Linked DNA regions of Cricetulus griseus. The protein of the gene in region 1 interacts with the protein of each later gene in a biochemical or structural test. Links are inferred from orthologs where the notes say so. Each region holds a gene or a part of one and is shown on either strand. Other genes may lie near its edges.

Region 1 (7,792 bases):
CTTTGGAACATTTGCTTAAGATTTATGTAGTGTTGTATTTAAGAAAGCTTACAGATATGAGGAAGTTGATATACTCTCATTTTATGGGGTATAAAATTGTATATGTGGCCTCACAGTCATTCTGACTGCATTAAAAACAACCTGTATCTTCATGATACTAATGAGCTAATTCAACAATATTGATAAGATGCTTGATAACACCCAGGTGTTTTTTAGTTTTAAGTTGTCCTGCCACATTTATTTTGCAACAATGCTGTATTGTGGTGCCAGATGCTAGTGGCACTCATCTTTAGTCCCAGAACTAAGGAGGCAGAGGCAGGTGTTACTCTGAGTTAGAAGTCAGCCTGGTCTAACTCAGGTCTACAGAGTGAGTTTCAGGGTAACCAGGGCTACTCAAAGAAACCCTGTCTCAGAAAACAAACAAACAAACAAACAAAAAAACAACCAATGATACTCCAATAAAAAAAAAAAAAAAAAAAAAAAGCAGGGCAGTGGTGGCTCACACCTTTAATCCCAGCACTTGAGAGGCAAAGGCAGACAGATCTCTGTGAATTCGAGACCAGCATGGTCTACAAGAGCTAGTTCCAGGACAGGCTCCAAAGCCACAGAGAAACCCTGTCTCAAAAACAAAACAAAACAAAAATTGCATTGTGAATTAGCTATCCTTTGAAATCTTTTTTTCCTCTCTTTTTAAATTTAAATTAGAAACAATCTTGTTTTACATATAAATCCCAGTTCCCTCTCCCTCCCATGCCACACACCAACCCCCCAACCCAATCCCTTTCTGCTCTCCAGGGAGGGAGGGTGCAATCTTCCATGGGGAATCTTCAAAGTCTGTTTAATCATTTGAAACAGGGCCAAGCCCCTCTCCCCCCAAGTGTCTAGGCTGAGAGAGCATCCCTCTTGAGTGTAATGGGCTCTCAAAGTCCATTCGTACACTAGGGATAAATACTGATCCACTACCAGAGGCCCCATAGACTGACCAGGCCTCCTAACTGATACCCATGTTCAGGAGGATCTGGGTGAGTCCTATGCTGATTTCCCAGCTATCAGTCTGGGGTCCATGAGCTCCCCCTTGTTCAGGTCAGCTGTTTCTGTGGGTTTCCTCAGCCTGATCTTGACCCCTTTTCTCATCACTCCTCCCTCTCTGCAACTGGATTCCAGGAGTTTGGCTCAGTGCTTAGCTGTGGGTGTCTGCTTCCATCAGCTACTGAATGAAGGGGCTCTAGGGTGGCATATAAGGTAGTCATCAATCTCATTATAGGGGAAGGTTATTTAAGGTAGCCTCTCCACTATTGCTTAGATTTTTTTAGTTGGAGTCATCCTTGTAGATCTCTGGACATTTCCCTAGTGCCAGATTTCTCTTTAAACCTATAATGGCTCCCTCTATTAAGGTATCTCTTTTCTTGCTCTCCTTTATTCTTCCCTCGACTCAATTTTCTTGCTCCCTCATGTCCTCCTCTCCCCTCCTGTTCTCCTCCTCTCTTTCTTACAGCCCCCTCTCCCCTTCCCCCATGCTCCCAATTTGCTCAGAAGATCTTGTCTCTTTTCTCTTCTCTGGGGGGACAATGTATGTCTCTCCTAGGGTCCTCCTTTTTTCCTCAATTCTCTGGAGTTGTGGATTGTAGGTTGGTAATCCTTTGCTTTATGTCTAATATCCATATATGAGTGAGTACATACCATGTTTGTCTTTTTGTGACAGGGTTACCTCACTCAGGATGGTTTCTTCTGGTTCCATCCATTTGCTTGTGAATTTCAAGATTTCGTTGCTTTTTTTTCCCCCCACTGAATAGTACTCCATTGTGTAAATGTACCCCATTTTCTCCATCCATTCTTCAGTTGAGGGACATCTAGGTTGCATCCAGGTTCAGGCTATTACAAATAATGCTGCTATGCACATAGATGAACTGATGTCCTTGTGGTATGAATATGCTTCCTTTGGGTATATGCCTAAGAGTGGAATTGCTGGATCTTGAGGTAAACGGATTCCCTTTTTCCTGAGGAACCATCATACTGATTTCCAAAGTGGCTATACCAGTTTGCACTCTCGCCAGCAATGGAGAAATGTTCCCCTTTCTCCACATCCTCTCCAGGATAAACTGTCATTGGTGTTTTTGATTTTAGCCATTCTCAAAAGTTGTTTTGATTTGCATTTCCCTGATGGCTAAGGATGTTGAGCACTTTCTTAAATGTCTTTCAGCCATTTTAGATTCCTCTATTGAGAATTGTCCACTTAGTTCTGTACCCCACTTTTTAATTGGATTACTTGGTGTTTTGATGACTAGCTTCTTGAATTCTTTGTATATTTTGGAATCTAAGCAATAGTGGAGAGGCTACCTTAAATGCCCTTCCCCCATAATGAGATTGATGACTACCTTATATGCCACCCTAGAGCCTGTAGGATGATGGAAGCAGATTCAGTAGCTGATGGAAGCAGACACCCACAGCCAAGCACTGAGCCAAACTCCTGGAATCCAATTTCAGAGAGGGATGAGTGATGAGCAAAAGGGTCAAGATCAGGCTGAGGAAACCCACAGAAACAGCTGACCTGAACAAGGGGGAGCTCATGGACCCCAGACTGATAGCTGGGAAATCAGCATAGGACTCACCCAGACCCTCCTGAACATGGGTGTCAGCTAGGAGGCCTGGTCAGTCTATGGGGCCTCTGGCAGTGGATCAGTATTTATCCTAGTGTACGAATGGACTTTGGGAAGCCCATTCCACATTAGAGGGATGCTCTCTCAGCCTAGACACTCGGGGGAGGAGGCCCTGTTTCAAATGATATGACAGACTTTGAAGATCCCCATGGAAGGCCTCACTCTCCCTGGGGAGCAGAAGAGGGATGGGTTGGGGGGGCATGGGAGGGAGAGGGAACTGGGACTGATATGTAAAATAAAATTGTTTCTAATTTAAATTTTTAAAAAATTTAGGAAAAAAAGAAATCGGCAAATTCCTAGACACTGTCTATCAAAATTTAATGAAGAGGATATAAACAAAGAGATCTATAACAAGAAAAAAAAATCTCCAAATGAAGAAAAGCCTAGAATTAGATGATTCACTGCCTAATTCTACCAAACCTTTAAAGAAAAGGTAACATCAAGATTCTTCAACATGTGCCATAGAATCGAAGGGGAAGGGACACCAACAAACACTGTCTACAAAGCTGCCATTACTCTGATAGTGAAATTAGATTAGTACATGGTAGAAGAAAGAAAGGAAGGAAGGAAAAACAATTTTTCTGATTAACATACAAACAAGTAGCTCTCTGACATGCCTTTAACAAACATGGCAAAAAAGAAATCAGAAAAGGGGGTTACTATCCACAGTAGCCTCAAACAAACAACAAACCCTAACCCTAACCAAAGAGTTGAAAGACTACTTCAATGCAAACTTTCAAGACAGAAAAAAAAGCAAAAGAACAAAACAAACCAATTTCTTTCATCTTAAAGAGAATAAGAGACAGTTTATTCTGGCGCCATTCTGAGTGACCATGGCCCAGGAATACAGATTTAGGTTACCCCAAACTCTTAACGAAGTTTCATCCACTTTGCAGGAACTGTCCCTGACCATCAAACCCAGTTGCTGTCCAGTCTAATATGCCATAGGCGTCTGGCACAAGCCCAGTGTACCTAGGTTAGTTACCCAAACTGGCCTAAAGAAAGCAGAAAAAGGGGGGGGTGAGGAATGGGACCCCAATTGGTTTTGGCCTGAGTGTTTTTTTTTCTTTTTTTTTTTCTTTTTTCCACACCTACTTGGAAAGCCTGAGAGCCAGCGCATCTGGGAACACTCACCATCCTGGAGCCAGGGACTCATGTAGCTGAGGATGTAGGTGGGGTCCAGAGTCTTCCTGACATAGTCTCTGAACGCTTGCAGATTCTGCCTCTGTTCAGCTGTCATTCTGTGTCTCCCCCCGAGCGATGATCGCCCTGGATCCCCCAAAGCCACTAGAAGTGAGCGCTGTAGGGATTTTCCAAGAAGACACCCAGAGCCACAAGCCGCCAGGGCCTGAGAGAGGAAATCGAAACTGCCCTCGCGGCGCTGGGGGCGGGGATTCAGTTTCCTTTCTGATCCCGTGAGGCGCTGGCCAGGAGGGACCCAAAGGCTCCTTGGCAACAGCCTTGAAGTTTGCGGGCTGCTTTTGGAGTGGTGCGGTTTATATTATAAAGTGCGCACAGTTGAAGTGTACAGTTCAATGAATTCCGAAAAACCGAGACACAGTTACCTCTTCCGACAGATCAGCTGGGTCCTGCAGAAATCTCTGCTTTGTTAGGAAACTATCACCTCTTTTCCAAAGTGACAACACCAGTTTGCATTCCCACTCGGAGTTATAGAACTAAAGCTGACATGCATCTGTTGGATACAGATGGTTTTCTTTCTTTCTCTGTAGCAAATTGATAATTACTGTAGTTTTATCTTCCCATATAGTTAATGATTCTGAACACATGCCTGTCTTTGTTTAGCTATTATACTATCTTTTGAATGTGTATATTGAACATAAAAATTGTATATATTCAAATATCATATTCCTGTTTGCAGCTTACCACTCCAATTTCCTTAAAGGTGTTTTTTGATGAGTATTACATTTATATTAATAAAATATAATTATCAGGGTCTCCTTTCACGGCTTCATGACTTTTTTTTAAAATTTAAATTAGAAACAAGATTGTTTTACTTGTCAATCCCTGTTCCCTCTCCCTCCCCTCCTCACCTGCCCTGCCCTCCATGACTAATTATTTATTTAGCTTTTTTTTGTTTTTTTGTTTGTTTTGTTTTGAGACAGGGTTTCTCTGTGTAGCTTTGGAGCATGTCCTGGCACTCGCTCTGGAGACCAGGCTGGCCTCGAACTCACAGAGATCCGCCTGCCTCTGCCTCCCGAGTGCTGGGATTAAAGGCCTGCGCCACCAACACCCAGTATTTTGCTTTTTTGAAACAGGGTTTCTTGTAACCCTGGCTGCTCTGGAATTTGCTCTGTAGATCCAGCTGGCCTCTGTCTCCCAAGTGTTGGGATTAAAGGCATGTGCCACTCAGTGATTTTATGACTTTTATTAATTTCCATTCTTTTTTTTTTTATGAGAATAGGCAAAGTTTATCACTAACCACGGTTGGAAAGGATCAGAGATGCGGGTATAATTTGCTTTCTGGTTCTGTGATAAAACACTGACCAAGAGTGTTTATTTGGTTTCCTGTTTTCAAGTCCATCATCAAGGGAAGCCAAGGCAGGAACTCAAGGCTTTAGAAACCTGGAGGTTGGGATTGAAACAGAAACCATGGAGGAATACAATTTACTGGCTTGCTTGCGCTGGTTTGCTCAGAATACCTTTCTTATAACCCAGCCTAGGGATTATAGTGTTTGAAGTATGACAGGCACTTCTTCATCAATCAGCAACCAAGATGTTTCAGTACAGACCAGTCTCGTGGAGGCCATTCTCAGTTGGGTTTCCTCGTCTTTTTTTTTTTTTTTTTTTTTTTTTTTTTTTTTTCTTTTTAGAGATTTATTTATTATGTGTAGAAAGTTCGACCTGCATGTATGCCTGCAGGCCAAAAGAGGGCACCAAATCTCATTACAGATGAGATAAGCCACCATGTGGTTGCTGGGAATGAACTCAGGACCGTTGGAAGAGAGCCATCTCTCCAGCCCGAGGTTCCCTCAACTTAAAGTCCAGATTTCTGTCAAGTTGACATAAACTATGACAGATGCCCCCTGTCAGATTAATGACATTTTCTTTTATATTTAAGGTTTTTTTTTCCTTTAGCATGAATGAGTGAATTTTTTCAACTGTCTTTTTCCCCCATCTATTGAGGTGATCATATATTTGTTAACATGCCAAATTTTATTGATTTTATTTTGTTTTGATTGAGACAGGGTTCTATGTAGCCTAAAATGGCCTGAAACTCGCTATATAGCCTAGGATGACCTTTGAACTGTTCCTCCTGCTTCTGCCTCTAGAATGCTAAGATTACAAGTTTGTGCCAACATGCTTGGGTCATTGATGGACTTGTAAATTTAAATAGGCCTAGAATTCCTGGAATAAACCTCTTCTGATGACAATCTTTTCTATATACTTCTGTATTCAATTTGCTAGTATTTTCATACAGTTGGTTATTTTTTTATTTTGTCTGTGTTCATAAAGGATATTGGTCTGCAAGTTTTTGTAACACTTTTTGTGTTAGGATCCTAAGAGTTTGTGTACTAGTATATTTTTTTTCTCCTTAAGTTGAAAGACCAAAAGTTAAAATTAATAAAAGTTTAAAAACTTGGGCCCTAAATCTATACAGAGAAAGGGAACTTCTAATGGTAAAGGAAATTTTGACTCCTTATATCAGGAGTGCTGTAGCTGGTGCCTGAGTCCTGCTCTCAGAGAAGGGGAGGTGATCCTCCACCACTTGGGTCAACATTCCTGTCTGCTAATTGCTGGTCCTAAAGTTGTAAAGATCCCCAGCCCAGAGGATAACTGACAGACCCTGTGACTCTGTAACCTTATGCCTTGTCTTATCTCACTCAAATATATCTTGTTTAAAATATATAGTTACTGCTTTACTCTGTACTTTGTATGACCTTAAGTAACCATGGAAACTCTTGAAATTTGTGGCCTTCAACCTTATGGTCACATAAGATTTTTGGCTGGTTGGCATCTCATTTCCCACCATGGAGTGAGATCCAAGCTGGCCAGCTTGAACAATAAAAAGAAACCTTAGCCAGGCGGTGGTGGTGCATGCCTTTAGTCCCAGCACTCGGGAGGCATAGGCAGGCAGATCTCTGTGAGTTGGAGACCAGCCTGGTCTACAAGCGCTAGTTCCAGGACAGTCTCCAAAACCCACAAAGAAACCCTGTCTCAAAAAACCAAAAAAATAAATAAATAAATAAGATAAAATAAAAAGGAATCTTTTGCTTTTTGCATCAGAGTGTTGACTCCTTGGATTAGTCTCTGGGCTCCCGAAACCTGGCACAACAAAGTATCAACAGAATTTGCCAAAAAGACCATTTGGGCTGGGAGTCATAGTTGTCTGGATTCAATTTCATTATTACATAAAAGGCTATTCATATTTTTTTAAACTTCATCTTGAATCAATCAATTTTGGTAAGTTATGTTTTTTTTTTAAAATGGTAAAATAATTAAATGAGAATGTATTAGACTGGAGCAACTCAAAGGCCCAAAAAAGGAGCCTAGGAAATAGAAGAGGAGACAAGCTCAGCCAATCACAGGTACCAAATAGGCGTTCTTTTTGTTTGTTTTGTTTTTGTTTTTTAAGACAGGGTTTCTCTGTATTGCTTTGGACCCTGTCCTGGAACTCTCTAGACCAGGCTGGCCTCAAACTCAGAGATCCACCTGCCTCTGTCTCCTGAGTGCTGGGATTAAAGGCATGCACCACCAACACCCAGCTCAAGTAGCTGTTTTTTTACATCTTCTTGAACTGCTCACAGGAAGGTCCAGGAAAGACAAATTGCCCAAACGTCAAGCAACCAAATAATATTGCTTTCCTTATGGATTCAACTACAAACAAAAGAACTTTCCACCAACACCCTCTAGCCAAGCTCTGAGCTGCACCAGTTTGTAGGTGCTCAAATAAGCACCTTAAACATGTAATGTGGCCCAAGTATCTTCAAACACAGCACATCTGACCATGTCTTCTAAATTGCTAAAATAATGGCATTACTTAATTTTTTAAAAACCCATTTTAAAAAATCTATCCATGCTAGACATTTGCCAATGTTATCTTTTCGGAGAACCAACTTTTGCTCTGATAAATTTCTTCATTACCATTCCATTTTCTATTTCACTGATCTCTGCTG
Region 2 (7,755 bases), on another chromosome or scaffold:
TGATCATCTACCCCGGACCTCATCAGCTATGACAGCTGTTCTCCACCATCTACAAAATCTGAGAGATCACGGACCGGCTGTGCCTGGAGGTGAAGGGCAAGATGGTCAGAGGGTAATAATGATGACTTGCTCATCGGTGGAAATGCTTCTGCCGAAGACCCAGAGGGCGAAGGTACAGTAGTCACCACTGTTGATATTTATGGTCAGGAACCACCACTTACAAGAAGCCAGCTTCACCAAAGAGGCCTACAAAAAGCACATCAAAAATTATGTGAAAGCACTCAAAGGCAAAATTGAAGAACAGAAACCTGAAAAAGTAAAAGCCTTTTATGACTTGGGTCGCAGAGCAAATTAAGCACATCCTTGATAATTTCAATAACTACCAGTTTGTTTGTTTTTTTTTTATTGGCGAGAACATAAATCCAGATGGCATGGTTGCTCTCCTGGACTCTGTGAAGATGGTGTGACTCCAGTCATGATATTCTTTAAGGACAGTCTAGAGATGGAAAAATGTTAACAAATGGGATCTATCACCTGTCACCATAACCGGCTGCTGCTTACCATCCACACAACAACAGGACGTAGGACAAATAGGACTGAGGTCATATTAAGATTTTTATTTTGACCATGATTTATTTGGGGTGGAGACTTTCCCTCCCCCTCCCTCCCTCCCTCCCTCCCTTCCTCCCTCCTCCCTCCCTCCCTCCCTCCCTTCTTTCTTTCTTTCTTTCTTTCTTTTTCTTTCTTCCTTTTAAGAAAAAAGCATGGGGGCTGGAGAGATGGCTCAGCGGTTAAGAGCACTGCTCTTCCGGAGGTCCTGAGTGCAATTCCCGGCAACCATATGGTGGCTCACAACCACCTTGAATGAGATCTGGTAACCTCTTCTGGAATGCAAGCAGAAGACTGTATACATAATAAATAAAATATTAAAAAAAAAGAAAGAAAAAGAAAAAATATGTCGGGGGCTGGAAAGGTGGCTCAGAGGTTAAGAGCACTGGCTGCTCTTCCAGAAGTCCTGAGTTCAATTCCCAGCAACGGCATGGTAGCTCACAACCATCTTTCATAAGATCTGGTGCCCTCTTCTGGTGAGCAGGCAAATATGCAGACAGAATACTGTATACGTAATAAAAATAAGTAAATAAATTTAAAAAAGAAAAGAAAAAACATGTCATGTAGGTTATTTAAAAATAAAGTGCATTTAAATTTTTTTTAAAAAAGTTTTTTGGTATAATTCCTCAAAAGTAAAAAAAGTGAATTTTGCTTGTTTGTTCATTTGCTTGGTTGTTTGTTTTTCCTACTTTTTTTTTTCTTTTTTTTTTCTTTTTTTTTTGAGACAGGGTTTCTTTGTGTAGTTCTGACTGTCCCGGAACTAGCTCTGTAGACCAGGATGGCCTCGAAGTCATAGAGATCCACCTGCCTTTGCCTTCTGAGTGCTGAGATTAAAGGAGTGTGCCGCCATCACTGCCCGGCCCAAAATAAAATATTTTTTTAAAAATTCAATTAAAAACCCTGCTAGGAGATTATTAAAAATAATTTCTGGGGACTAGAGAGATGGCTCAGCTGTTTAGAACACTGCTCTTCCGAGGACCGATGTGAAGTTCCCAGCAGCCACATGGCAGCTCACTACTGTCTGTAACTCCAGTTCCAGGGGACCCGACAGACACATGTGCAGGCAAAACACCAATGCACATTATAAATAAATAAGTAAACAAACAAATAAATAAAGTTATTTTAAAAAATAGGCCGGGCGTTGGTGGCGCATGCCTTTAATCCCAGTACTCGAGGATCTCTGTCGGTTCGAGGCCAGCCTGGTCTCCAGAGCGAGTGCCAGGATAGGCTCCAAAGCTACACAGGAAACCCTGTCTCGAAAAACAAAACAAACCAAAATAAATAAATAAATAAATAAATAAATAAATAAGTAGTCAGATGGTGTTGGTGCACACCTTTAATCTCAGCACTGGGTAGGCTAGAGGCAGGCAGATCACTGGGAGTTTGAGGCAAGCCTGGTCTAGAGAGCGAGTTACAAGACAGCCAAGGATATACACAGAGAAACCCTATCTCGAAAAACTAACAAACAAATCTGAATTCATCCTCAGCCTCGCTGCACTGCTACTCAGTCGTTTTTTTTGTTTTGTTTGCGCACATCTCAGAAAACAAAATGCGACACCTACTGGGCGCAACACTAAAATGAGTTCCTGTAGCGAGCCCTCTTCATAGTTTAAGTTGTTAGGGTTGCTTGTTATGGATGTAGGAGCGGGAGTCACTGGATTGACAGATGATTTTCCAGGCTGGAGGTCAACCAGCTAGCAACGCCAAGCACTTTTAGAGGCTGGGAAGAATGAGAGCGGCTGGGAGGGGCATACGGTGGGCTAGGCGGAGCTAGTAAAGTGGGTGGGGCAGACCAGAGCCTTCCAGGCCACCGCCCAGTATGGCGGCCCCAGTCCTAGGCACTTCGATTCCTGTGTGGTTGAGCGAGGAGGACCTGAGCTGCATTATCTGCCAAGGGCTGCTGGACTGTCCCGTCACGCTGCCCTGCGGCCACAGCTTTTGCCACCGGTGCCTCAATGGCTTGTGGGTCACGCAGCGCGCGGGTGTGGATGGCCGTCCCTGGGCATGCCCCACCTGCCGGGAGGGCCCCGAGGCGAAGCCAAAGCTGCGCAAGAACCTGCTGCTGCAGGACCTGGCGGACAAGTACCGCCAAGCGGCGCTCGAGCTCGAGGCTGGCCCCGCAACCGCGTCCGCGCCCCGGTCGCCGAGTCGCCCCGCGCCACCGCCGGTAGGAAGCCCACACCGCTCTGGCAGCCCGCGTGCGCCCCCTTGGGCCTCTCCTGCCTTCGCGATCTCTTCTTCCGCTACGTGATTTTATCAGTTTAATCTGTTTTCGGGAGTATCTTTGAAAAGTTCAGACTTGTATAAAGAAGTAGAAATGCCCGGCGTGGAGATCGCACGCCTGTAATCCCAGGATTTGGGAGGCTGAGACGGGCATGCCTCACAGCAGCCAAAGCTACATAGTAAGGTCTGGTCACAAACGATAGTTAAAAATCTCATAATAGTTGAAAATCTAAATCCCATCCAACCGAGGTGTATTTCCATTTATTCGACAGCCTTTCTGTGATGTCTAAAAAATTTGCCATTTTAACATTGTTTAATTCTATTTATCGGGGCAGGATCTAACTAGTGTAGACCAAGCTGGACTTGAACCTGAAGTGAGTAATGATCTCTGCCTCCTTGGCTTTCCAAGTCTGGGATTACAGGTGTGAACCACTTGAACTTGCAGAGCTCTGCTTGCCCCTGCTTCTCAAGAGCTGGGATTAAAGGCATGTGCCACCATGACTGGCCAACCATTTGAACAATTTTTTTCAGTGTACAGTTCGATGGCATTTGTCATATCTCCAACACTGTGCATCTGTCACCGCTGTTGCCAAAGTGATTTTATCGCCACATAGGACCTCTGTACCCACTAAGCTATAACACCTGATTCCTGTCCCTCCAGCCTCCGCACATGTCTCATCTACTGTACCAGGCTTTTTCTTTTGAACCACCAATCAGCTCCCAAATATGACTCCGAGACTTCTTTTTTGTAGACCAGGCTGACCTTGAGTTCACTGAGATCCACCTGCCACTGCCTCCCAAGTGCTGGGATTAAAGTTGTGGGCCACCACTGCCGGGTTTGACATGGAGCCTTCTTATTAGTTGTGAATGTTCAGCCTAGTTTAGGCTCGTTTGTGGCTAGCTCTTTAAGTTAACCTGTTCCCCCCTTTTTTCTTTTCCTTTTGCTTCAAGCTTTTTACTTTTCGTTCCTAAGGTTTATTTTAATTTACTGCTTCTCTTCTCTAGCTGGCTGGTAGCTGCCTGGCATCTTGCCCTGGGTGTATATCTCTCTTTCTTCCCTCATTCTCTCCCCTCTCTCCCTTTCTCCCTTTCTCTCTCTCTCTCTCTCTCTCTCTCTCTCTCTCTCTCTCTCTCTCCTGTCTCTCCCTTTCTTTCTTGTTTGCTTTTAAGATTTATTTACTACGTACACATTCTGCCTGCATGAGAGAAGAGGGCACCAGATCTCATTACAGATGGTTGTGAGCCACCATGTGGATGCTGGGAATTGAACTCAGGACCTCTTGAAGAGCAGCCAGTGCTGTTAACCTCTGAGCCAGCCCATGCCTAACTTCTTTCATTCCCATAATATTTTCAGGGCGAATTCATGTTGCAGCATGTATCAGAACACCCTTGCTTTAGGTGGCTATCATATCATCTATGTAGATATATCACTTTCTAATCAATTTATTTGTTAATGAACATTTAAATTGTTTCTACATTCGACTATTATAACTACTGCTACAATGTACATTATCTTACAATTGAGTTCCTATTTTCAGTTTTACTCTTTTCAATTGGGGACTTATCTGAGGGCCCCAGGGGTTCCAGGCATGCATTCTCACCCAGCCTCTCATTTGATTTTCTATATAGTATTGGGCAAGAATCTAACTTCAGGCCAGGCGTTGGTAGTGCACACCTTTAATACCAACACTTAGGAGGCAGAGGCAGGCAGATCTCTGTGAGTTTCAAGCCAGCCTGGTCTATGTGCAGAGCTCCAATATAGCCAGGACTACGTAGAGACAACCTGTCTCAAAAACAAACCAAAGGATCTAACTTCATTGATTGGTATAGGGATATACATTTCTAGTTAGTATTTGTTGAAAATACTTCTTGTGCCTTTAAGTAGTCTTGGCATTCTTGTAAAAATCTATTTCATGGTATATCTGAAGATTTGTTTCTTGTCTCTCTCTTCTTTTCCATCACTCTAAATGTTTTCTTTCATGTTGCTACCTTGGCGTTTATAGCTCCCTTTGTTGAGTGGTGGTTCTGGGTCCAGTTTTTGGGAACCAGAAGCCCAGTTTCACTCTTTTAAAGGTGGCAGTACAGAAAAACACCACAGAAGAGGTCATCCAGGAGCTGACAGAACTGATGCAACAGCTTGTAGACATTGTCAAGAGCCTTCAAACATCAAGACCGGGATCTGGATTGGACAATGAACTAGGCATCCTGGGCATGGTAGGTTCAGGTGGGAAAGGAGGGGCCAGGGTGAAGGACAGCTTCCAGCTAAAGCAGTATGACACATGGGATGCAACAGGTCTCATGTTTCTCTTTACTACCAAATATGGGTGATTAGAAATCTGGCATGCTCGACATGAGTTAATGGAAGCTTCGAGTAAGCTGGGATCCATCCTTCCCACTCTACCCAGTCAACTCTCTAAAATCACCAGCAAGCTCTTGGTAAATCCCACAGATTTGAAAGTCCTTATCTTCAGTGACCTTTACATTTTTTTAAAGATGTATTTATTTTATGTGTTTGAGTATTTTGTCTACATATATATATATATACACACCATGTGCATGTCTGGTGCCTGTAGAGGTCAGAAAGGGTGTTGGACCTCCTGGAATCAAAGTTACAGATGAGTATGAGCCATCATGTAGGTGCTGTGAACTGAACTCAGGTCCTCTACAAGAGCAACAAATGTTCTTAACTGCCAAGTTAACTCTCCAGCCCCATTCAGTGACCTTTTAAAAATATTTTATTATTGTATGGAAGAAAGAGTTTGTGTGTGTATATCAGCGAGTGTGTGTGTGTGTTGTAGGGGAGCGGAGAGGAGAGAGAGAGTAGGGGAGGGTATGGGTTTGTAGGGGAGATCAGAGCATAACTTTCAGGAATCCATTCTCATCTTCCACTGTAGGTCCCAGGGATCTAACTCAGGGTGTGGGGTTTGTTCAGCAAGCATCTTTACAAGCCAAACCATCTTGCTAATGCCCCCTTTCTCCTTTTGAGATGAGATTTTGTTGTGTTGTCCAGTCTAGCCTTCAACATGAACTCATGGTCTTCCTAAACCAGCCTCCTGAGTATCCCCATTGTGCTCACTCTCCAGGTTGCTTCATTTGCTTTTGTTTTATGCTACAGGATCTGTAGCCTAGGCTGGCCTTGAACTCAGAAAGTTGGCCTTGAACTCCTGATCCTCCTACTTCTACTACTTTCTTGCATCTCAACTTTTCCTCTTGGGTCTCTCAAAACCATCACAGTTAAGTGCCCCAATCCTCTGGGGATTCTCCATCACTGCCTTGGTCTCATTCTTCCAAATACACAAGCCAGAAGCCTGGAAGTCATGTCACTTCCTCTACCCTAACCGGTCTAGCAGCACACTGAGGTTCCACAGCCAGCCGAAGTATCTTCCAAATCTATTCACCCTGAGCTCCTATGAGAATTCTCTAGTCCAAGCCTATGATGATCTTTTGCCTGGATTGTCATCACAGCCCTGCAAATATTCCACTCTATTTTAGTCAACTCTCTTCATACAGATATGACCATGTAACTCATCTGCTTGAAATACTCTGATGACGTTTGTTTAACCCGAGACAATCAGTTTTTAGCTCTCTGTTTACAGGCGCCCATTGGCAATGGCAGAAACATGTAGTGTGCAGAATCTCGGAACTTCATGGCCGGGGAGTAGAAGAGAGGTAGAGGCAAGGAGTGGCTCATGCCCCCAATGGCCTAAAGAGCTTACTATGCTCACCTCCTAAAGGTTTCACTACCCCATTTATGGCGCCCTGGGGATTAAGCATTACTAGATGGCCTTTGGGGAGCCATGTATGATCCAAACTATGGCAGTGTCTGTTTGGGATTAAAACCCCAGCAAAACCATAAGGGATCCCATGCCTGTGTCCTCTCCTGACCACAGCCCTCCTGACCTCCTGGCTCTATGCTCTAGTCACCCAAGCCCAGTCAGTTCCTGTAGGATGTCTTGTTTCTTCTCATTAGAGGAATGCCTTTCACAACATTTGTTTCCTTTATTCGTCACCTAGGGGATGACTATGCCTCTGCCATGCCCTAAATCAGCACTCTCTGGGAGAGAAGCCTTCACTGATTTCTTTGAATGAGTTAAATTCCCTATCAGAGGTTCTTAGGATTCCATATGCCTTTTTTTTTTTTTTTTTTTTTAAATCAGTGATTACTGCTGCAACTTTCTGACTTGTGCAGCCACAGGCTAGGCAGGGTCTCTCCCTGAACCTGGGGCAAGACACAGTGATGTTACTGTGATTTGGAATTGGGGTTACAAGTGTGCCAGGGCTGGGGGAATGAGATTAATGTGATTGGCCTCACTCCAGGTTCAGTGAGAGACCGTGTCTCAAGGGAATAAGGTGGAGCCATGCCAGAACAGGAAACCTGATATCCTTTTCCATGTGCACATATACCAAGCCCCTCCCCCCGCATATTCTCTCTCTCTCTCTCTCTCTCTCTCTCTCCATATGCACATAACAACAACAACAAAATAAGAGAAAATAAAAAGTATCTTATAGACTGGGGATGTGGCTTAGTAGGAGAGTTCATGCACAAGGTTCTGGATTTGATCCCTAGCACCATAAAAAATACATTAAATAAATAAATGATACATCTTGTGCAATAGGAGGCCAGAGAAATGGCTCAGCAGTTAAAAGCACTTGCTGCTTTTCCGGAGGACCTGGGTTGATATTCGGCACCCACACAGTGGCTCACAACCACCTGTATCTCCAATTCTAAGGGATTTGATGTCCTCTTGTGGTTTCCTTCGGCACCAAGCACACATGTGGTACATACACACAAACCGGTGGGCAAAGAATTCATAAACATAAAATAAAAAGAAATTAATGTGCTGGGCGGTGGTGATGCATGTTTTTAATCCCAGCACTCAGGAAGCAGAGGCAGGCGGATCTCTGTGAGTTTGAGGCCAGCCT

What was found. The genes of interacting proteins can lie anywhere in the genome.
Region 2: of the proteins of Ddx58 (region 1) and Rnf135, one has a biochemical effect on the other in vitro, tested with the Homo sapiens proteins (6 studies listed by BioGRID, with this or other methods). The link is inferred for Cricetulus griseus from reciprocal best matches to the Homo sapiens genes RIGI and RNF135.

What each region holds. Positions count from the first base shown.
Region 1 is NC_048595.1:102,310,013-102,317,804, reverse strand, and holds the start of Ddx58 (antiviral innate immune response receptor RIG-I), read right to left. Parts: upstream 4,043-7,792; 5' UTR 3,898-4,042; coding exon 3,792-3,897; intron 1-3,791.
Region 2 is NC_048600.1:93,648,190-93,655,944, forward strand, and holds the start of Rnf135 (E3 ubiquitin-protein ligase RNF135), read left to right. Parts: upstream 1-2,405; 5' UTR 2,406-2,428; coding exon 2,429-2,776; intron 2,777-4,905; coding exon 4,906-5,046; intron 5,047-7,755.